Linked DNA regions of Ovis aries. The protein of the gene in region 1 interacts with the protein of each later gene in a pairwise test. Links are inferred from orthologs where the notes say so. Each region holds a gene or a part of one and is shown on either strand. Other genes may lie near its edges.

Region 1 (4,046 bases):
CGTCACACTTATGCAAACAGTAAGCATAAAAAGAATGGAGTGTCTATATTAATAAAAAATAGAGTTTAAGACAGAGAGCATTTCCAGAGATAAAGAGTACCGTTCTGTACTGATAAAAGGGTCCGTTTTTTCATCAAGAAAACGTAATCATAAATGTGTATGAGCTTAATGACAAGCCTTCAAAATACATGATGCAAAAATGGAAAGAATTAAAGGGAAAAATAAGCAATTCTATAATCCTAGTTGGAGATTTTAATACCTTTCTTTCAGTAGTGATATAATAACTAGATAAAACATCTAAAAAGTCACATAAGACTGAAAAACCCTATCTATCACCTTGAACAAATTGGTATTTAAAGAACATTATACTGAATTATACTGAATATCTGCATCCACATTCTTTTCAAGTACATATGGTTATAGTCATAATGATAGACATGTTCTAGGCCACTGTACAAGTCAATAAAGTTAGAGGAATTTAAATCAGATAGCATATGTTGTCTTGGGAATTCCCTGGCAGTCCAGCAGTTAGGATTCCAGTGCTTTCACTGCCAGGGCCTGGGTTCCAACCCTGGTCAGGGAACTAAGATCACATAAGCCCCCAATTTGTGGAAATTAAGCAACATGCTTCTAAATTAATCTACCATGTAAAAATCATAATAAAAATTATAATATATTTGAACTATAGAATAAGGCATATATAACTTTGTGAGAGGCAACTAAACAGTGCCTACAGGGAAATGTATAGCTTAAACTGTTTACATTAGAAAATAAAGATAGTCTAAAATCAAAGCCCAGATCCTGCAAAGGTGATATGTCTAAAAGAAGACACCTCCACTACCACCAATAAAACTGAGATCCCAAAGGGTGATAAAGGTGAACTAGAAGTAAACCCATTTCACCTCCTGGAAACTGAAAGAGCTCTGAGAACTCTGGTGCTGAGGAGGGTGCAAAGAAAAGAAAAAGAAAGAGAGTAATAGACCCTGGTAAGTTGTAACAAGAGGCCAATTTTTATACATATTCGGGATGAAATTTCATATCACTTGGGTTATCAAAACAAAATTATTAGTTTGTTCCTTCTTTTTATTGCTGTAAAAGAAAAATATTTTTCCTACCATCTTCCCTCCCTTTCAGTACAAGCTGAGTGCAAAAGATACGGGCCATTTCACCAGTTTCCTCCCCGGATCTTATAGGGCCCCGCCTTCTGAAGTAGTTTCACTTTTGTTTGTAGTTAACTTCCTCACCCAGACCTCAGGAACCAGCAGCTACGGAGCGAACTAGCGCGAGTATGTGACTGTCTGCTGTGTGGAGAAGGGAGTGGAAAAGGTCAGACCCATGTTTTCTCATGTTTTCTCCACGGAGGGATAGGAGATGTGTGTTGGAGGAGGGGATGGGGTAGCCGGGTCTTTGTTTCATGGCTCTCACACAGGGTCTGCTTTCTTTTTCGCCAGACTCCATGTTAAATCTCTGAAGTACAGAAGGTGAGGTGAGTGAAGGTCCAGGACAGGCGCCCTGGGGGCTCAGAGGAGGGGAGGTCCTCCTTCCCTAGGAGCACAGCACCAGTGGCAGAGAGGAGCCTAGTGTATCGCTTGGGGGAGATAACCTGCCAAAGAACAGAAATCTCCAGAAGAAATTCTCTTTGGATCCAAGAGACTGGTCCTGGTTATTAGAGGGACATAGCCTATCCAGTAACTTTAGTTGAATCCTTGCTTTTGATTCTGGCCCTGTCAGTTCAAAGGAAAGGCCACTCTCAACTTCCTTCATCCTCTGCTGCCCTCCCCGACAAACTCCCAGGAATGAGGAAGCAGGGAACTGAGCCAGGTTCCCAAAGCAGTCTAAGCTGTGGGTGAGAGGGTCGACTCCTTTGTCTATTGGTTGTCAGGTCCCTAGGGGTTAAGCCCTCAGGGTTGAGAGGCCCTGCTTTCCCATCTGCTTCTCACCTTCCCCTATCCTGGATTCTGCAAACTCCCTGTGTTCCAGTCACTCTGAACTTCTCCTGAGACACAGGTCCTGCTTGGAGAAGAGAGTCACCTCCCTAGCTGTCAAGGAGTTCTGCTCCCCTTCTCTTCCCAGCTCTTTTTTCCTCAGGTCAGGGAGCGGGGAAAAGAACTTGATTTCTTTACTTGTTCTTCTGGTTGTCTTTTTTGCTTTCATTATCATCCAGTTAGGTTTCCACTAGGGACTTTATTATGGTGTCTTTTGTTCTTTGTGGGGCAGGAGTGAGGGTTTAATTAGAGTCAAATTTGATTGTCTCAATCAAATCCTTAATAGACCACCCCTTTACCTAAGTGTTACTACCACTTACAAAGAAACAATTCTGGTACTAATTATTCTTGATGTTCATTAGAGGGAGAAAAACTTTAACAGTCCCTCACTGAGTTCTCTCTCTTGCTGCAGCTTTGGTTGAGGAAGTCAGCTTGGTTTCTCTCCCTCTCTCAGTGAAAACTTACAATGATGGAATGTTCTCCATCGGGGCTTTCATATAGCTACCAATCACCTGGAGCTATTAAGCAATTTAAATATGGCTAAGAGGTGCGAGAAATAGAATTTTAAATTCTATTTAATTGTAATTAAAGTGGCCACATGTAATAGTCATGACCATATTCCACAACACAGCTACATTCAATGCATCGTCTAAATTCCAACCTATTTCTTCTCTCTCTAGAGCAGACTCCATGACCTGTTGAAACCAGTGGCAACCAGTGCATTGCACAGAGACTCAGGAGAGGTAAAGTTCCATCACTGTGGGAAAATTCTGATTACTTCATCTCTGTGTCTAGATTCAATATTGGAGCTTTACAGGAGAAACCATGGCCTCAAAGAAGATGAGGGAGGAAGCCACCTGCTCCATCTGCCTGCACCTGATGACTAACGCAGTGAGCATCAGCTGTGGACACAGCTACTGCCACGCGTGCATAGTGAGCTTCTTTGAGAACCTCTACCAGATGCAACCATGGCTGAAGACATTCTCCTGTCCCCAGTGTCGAGCACCATTTAACATGGAGAGCCTCCGGCCCAACAAGCAGCTGGGAAATCTCATCGAAGTCATCAAGGAGATGGACCAGGAAATGTCATGTGAGGAACATGGAGAGAAGCTCCACCTGTTCTGTGAAGACGAGGGCCAGCTTATCTGCTGGCTCTGTGATCGTGGAGCCCAGCACAAAGGGCATGCCACAGCTCTGGTGGAAGAAGCATGCCAAGGCTACAGGGTGAGTGGTGGCCCACAGGGCTTCGGCAAGTACTTGGCCTCATATTGCCCCCTGAGACCTGAGATTCTTTGGCCTGAAACCCAAGATTAGGATCCTGAAATCCTATATCCTGTCATTCATCTGAAAAGTAGAATGATGGGTCCTCACTAAATCAAGTCCCAAAGGTTACTTTTGTCCCTATCCTTTCTGGCTCTGATGAACTCCTCCCTGCTTTAGAATGCCATGTGCACACCTGCATGTTTTATTGCTTCATACCATGTGTGTAATTTGAGAAACAACAATATGCAAGACCATGGGAAAGAGTCTGAAAACACAGGGGTCAAAGACACACCACCTTAGATGTCTTACAGTCTAATAGGAAAGACAAATCCGCAAACAGGCTGCCTGGAGTCCCCTGATTTGGATGGTGGAGCAGAGCCCTAAGGGGTGTGGAGTAGTAACTAAGGAATCTTCCCAAGAATGACTCTTGAAGAATACATAAAAATTAACCAAATATATTAATAGAAGTATGGAGAAGGGAGAGGACATTCCAGACAGAGGGGACCACATGTGCAAAAGCACAGCCATGGGAGCATACCTGACTTGCTATGACTAGGCCGGGGGGTATGCAGGGGAGGCAGGTGATGTTACGGGAATGAAAATCAGGTCTGCATCCTAGCCCAGAGTAGTCCTGGCCATGGGGGGATTTTCATTTGCAGAGTGAAAGATCGGGCTAACAATGAAAAGAACATTCTGGTACTGATACAATGAAAGGAATACTAAGTAGTAAAATTCAGATTATTCCTGTGAGAAGTGGAAAGAGATCAGTTCTAAGCCAGATTCAGGAAAGAGTGTGAG
Region 2 (4,168 bases), on another chromosome or scaffold:
CCAAGAACACAATACTCATTGGATAGTTTCTACAAAAAATAATGTTGGAAAAACTGGATATCCATATGATAAAGAATAAGGTCATTATACTAAATGAAGTAAGTCAGACAGATGGACATTGTCATATCACAGCCCCATCTGACCCCCTTCTGACTCCCCAGGAAGGGACCAGGGTGAAGCCATAACTGTCATTTTATATTTGCCCTCTGTCCCTCTATTCTACTCCTAAAATGGGTGACAGTGTGGTAGTAGGAGGCAAGGAGCAGCTACTTCTAAATCAGAACACTTGTAATCCTGGGTCAGCCTCATCTCCTCTCAGGATTGTTGTCTTTCTCAGCATGGCAAAAAAAAAAAAACCAACAACCAACAAACAAAAAGCAGGGACTTCTCTGGTGATCCAGTAGGTAAGAATCCGAGCCTTCAAAGCAGGGGCCTGGCTTCCATTCCTGGTCAGGGAACTAAATTCCACATGCCACAGTGAAGAGACCGTGTGCTGTAACAATGATCCAACAGGCGGCAATGAAAATCTCGCGTGATACTGCGCGCCCCAACTAAAACCCAGCGCAGCCAAAACAACAGCCAAACTTTATTACGGATATAATACACACTTATTGCTGGGAACTACAGACCAGCAAAATAGAAAACATAAGTGGTTCATAATCCCCTTACCTCAGAAAAAAAATACTAACATTTTGATACCAATTCTCCTCAGCAGCTTCACGTCAGAGGGACCCTGTCCTCTTCGCTTACTAACTAGCCCTTTCCAGTTACACATATTAACCTGGAGGGAAGTTACTTATTATTTACTTTTTCCTCTCTGGAGTTGTTTCTGGAGGTCGTTCTGTAAATTTTGTTGGGTGAGGGGCATAGATTTGAGAGACAGACTGAAGTTGGAGTTGTGCTTGGAGTTGTTTTTCAGTTTGAAGTGCTCACCTCCTAGCTTTGGGGGCAAAAAGTATTTCAAGCCTTGTTTTTTATGGTATCTGTATTCAAGAACTGGTCATGTCATTTCGGGTTGTTTTACCTCAGAATTTTTTAGCGCTGGCCGCTTTCTGTTCCCTTGAAGGGTAACAGCTATAACTCTGGTGACGACTGGAATTGGCTTTGGCCGTGAGACTTTAATTTGTAATGATGATTGGTGGCTGTACGGGGTGGCCGTGCCTCTCAGGCGCGCGCTCCCTCTGGGTTCAGGACTCTGGTCTACACCAGAGAGGGGAGATCCAGCTAGAAAAGGGCGGAGCTGGGGCGAGGCGTCCGCCCGGGCCTGCCGGCAACCAGGCAACAGGGCCTTAGCAACGGGGAGGGGGCGGGACCTAGGGAGGAAGTCCGATGGCCGCTAAATCTCGCGAGAGTTGCGTTTGCGCGCTAACTCTAAGTGCGAGGGTCCCGGGGTCTGGTTGTGGCTGTTGGCGAGGTTCGGGCCTCTGGGAAACGCGACAAGCCCACCGGCCACCATCATCACCATCATCATTATGGAGACCTCAGCGCACAAGCAGCAGCAGCCTGAGGCGGCCAAGATCAGAAACCTGCCCTGGTAGGAGGGGGCCTGGCTGCTGCGGGGAAGGGGATCGGCCGCGCGCGGAGGCGGTGGCCCGAGTGAACAAGTGGCCAGTCTCCAGCCCGACCTCGCCCCGCAGTCCCCGGACTTGAGGCCGGGGTGGAGCCACAGAAGTTCACCTGCCCTCAACTCCCCAGTCCTGCTCCATTCTATTTATAACTGGCTAGGTCTCCCTTCACCCGTAACCCAGGGCCCCCTTTCCTGTTGCGGAAGAGGAAAACGGCTTCCCCACTTGGGTGACAACATGGGTTCGATCCCATGTCTTCTGACATTGCCTTGGCCTCTGTGGCAGAATATTCTCTTGACAAAATAGTCTCTTCTCTCGGTGCGATTACTGGTCACATTCTAAGCTAGAATAATGATAATGATGATGACAGCACTTCCTAGTTAACTTATATTTCAGTGACTTTGTTACACGCACCCTATTAGATGTTGGAATTTTGCAAAGACCCTGGGAAGAAGATACTGTTATTCCAGCTTTACCAAAAGGTTAAATGACTTGCTTAAGGTCTAGAGTTGGAAAATAGGTTTGGATTTGAACCCAGGTGGTCCACATTCAGAGCTTGCATTCTTAGCCAGTCTGCTTCCACAACTGTGTCTTACTGTTGTTTTAAAGACTGATAGGATTTGGCTTGATTTTGAAAAACTTATTTCTTTTCAAAAGTTTTCAAGATAATGAGTTCGGTTTGTTGTTACTATAGTAAAAATATATAACATACAATTTACAGTTGTAGCGATTTTGTAGTGCATTCAGAATGTTGTGTGATCATCCACTATCTAGTTGCAAAGTTTTTCATATACCTCAAATGGAAACAATATACCTATTGGCAGTCACTCCCCATTCCCCTCTCCCTCAGCTCCTGGCAACCACTCATCTACTTACTGTCTCTATGAATTTGCCTATTCTGGATATTTCATGTAACTTGAATCATACAATATGTAGCCTTTCATGACTGGCTTCTTAGATCAGCAGTTCATGTCCTTTTATTGCCAGTAACATTCCACTGTATGGCTATACCACCATTTATTGATCCATTCATCTGTTAATTTATATTTGGATACAGGTTCAATTTTGGATTAACGTTAGGTGCCCATCCAGGTTGAGATTATAGGCAGATAGCTGGAAAGGTGAAATGAGAGCAGTTTTTCAGGGGGGCGTGGCCACAGGGGTTAGCCTGTGCATTTCATAATGTTTAATAACTTCCCTGATGACTATCCACTAGATGCCAGTAGCACCTTCCACCCAGTTTTGACAGGGGAAAAGTCTGTAGATATTATCAAGAGTTCACTGGAGGACAGAATTGCCCCAATTGAGAACCACTGGGTTAGAGGTTTTTGTATCTCTCTTCTTTTAGTTAGGATATGTATGAAAGGACTCTTCTGCACCTAACAAAATATTCTGGCCTTTATATATGTTGTAATGCATGCTACATTGTATTTTAGGGTTGAAAAATACCGGCCACAGACACTGGATGATCTCATTTCTCATCAGGACATCTTGAGTACTAGTAAGTATCCCTGTGTCAGTGGCTGGTATCCTAGTTGAAGAACCTGGATACATTGCTTAGGGATGTGGTCTCTGCTGTGATAACCTTAAAGAATCTGACTAAGCTTTTGGGATGTGGCTCTGACAGCTGCATCCTTCAGATGTTTCATTCCTGCCCGTGCCCTGGATTTGAACACAGATGTGAAGTAGACTCAGCCCAACTCTGGCCCGCGGTGAATGAGGCGACTGAGACTGATAGCATCTGTCTTTCTCCCCCCATCTTCAGTTCAGAAGTTTATCAGTGAGGACCGCCTGCCGCACCTCCTTCTGTATGGTCCTCCAGGGACAGGAAAGACATCCACCATCCTGGCCTGTGCTAAACAGCTGTACAAAGATAAGGAATTTGGCTCCATGGTCTTGGAGGTAAATGAGAGGATTACCCTTAACTTTCAACGGACTCTGGTTTCTTATTTTTAGTTCTGCTAGTTTTGTTTTCCAACTTAGTTGCCCTGCTGGTGGTTGGGAAAGAAGCAGATATACAATATTTCAATTCACTTTTCCTATAATTGACATTTTTGCCTGGAGATTTTGGGTGTAGCTAGAGGGCAGTGGTAGGGCCAGGTGTTTTTGTTTGCTTTTGCCAGCTTTTACTCAAACACTCAGGGGTCACTTGGTTGCTAGCTGTATCCCATGTGCCCTTCTCCATGTTGCTCCACACTGTTCTTGTCCCAGAAGACTGGGCGGTGTTGCCGACAAGCTCCCTTGCCCTCTGGCTCCTATTGGGTTTGGCCAGGAGTTGGGGGAAAAATGATGCCTGGTCCAGCCCTGGGTCACCACAGACGGACAGTGTCCCCACCCACAGGGCACAGCACCCAGCATTCCCCAGGAGCCAGCATCACTCCCCCAACAACCCCTTAAGACTTGAGAGTGGTAATGGGCCCCAGTAGCCCATAAGGTATTGCATAGCTCTTGTGGTTTCTCCCACACCTCACGAGCACCTTTGAAAATATCTCTTCATTTAATTCTCTTCAAATTACCGAATTTGAGTGTGCTGTTTACTGCTGGGACACGACTGATCCACTTAGATTATGAAATTCTAAATATTGTCTATTGTTAAGAAAAAA

What was found.
Region 2: the proteins of TRIM38 (region 1) and RFC5 interact in binary tests that used the Homo sapiens proteins (3 or more experiments, as listed by UniProt). The link is inferred for Ovis aries from reciprocal best matches to the Homo sapiens genes TRIM38 and RFC5.

The regions. Positions count from the first base shown.
Region 1 is NC_056073.1:30,926,785-30,930,830, reverse strand, and holds the start of TRIM38 (E3 ubiquitin-protein ligase TRIM38), read left to right. Parts: upstream 1-1,246; 5' UTR 1,247-1,326; intron 1,327-1,451; 5' UTR 1,452-1,481; exon of another isoform or gene 1,482-1,486; intron 1,487-2,665; 5' UTR 2,666-2,810; coding exon 2,811-3,209; intron 3,210-4,046. UniProt on the Homo sapiens protein: E3 ubiquitin-protein and E3 SUMO-protein ligase that acts as a regulator of innate immunity. Acts as a negative regulator of type I interferon IFN-beta production by catalyzing 'Lys-48'-linked polyubiquitination of AZI2/NAP1, leading to its degradation.
Region 2 is NC_056070.1:57,206,532-57,210,699, reverse strand, and holds the start of RFC5 (replication factor C subunit 5), read left to right. Parts: upstream 1-1,367; 5' UTR 1,368-1,472; coding exon 1,473-1,534; intron 1,535-3,001; coding exon 3,002-3,066; intron 3,067-3,330; coding exon 3,331-3,467; intron 3,468-4,168. UniProt on the Homo sapiens protein: Subunit of the replication factor C (RFC) complex which acts during elongation of primed DNA templates by DNA polymerases delta and epsilon, and is necessary for ATP-dependent loading of proliferating cell nuclear antigen (PCNA) onto primed DNA.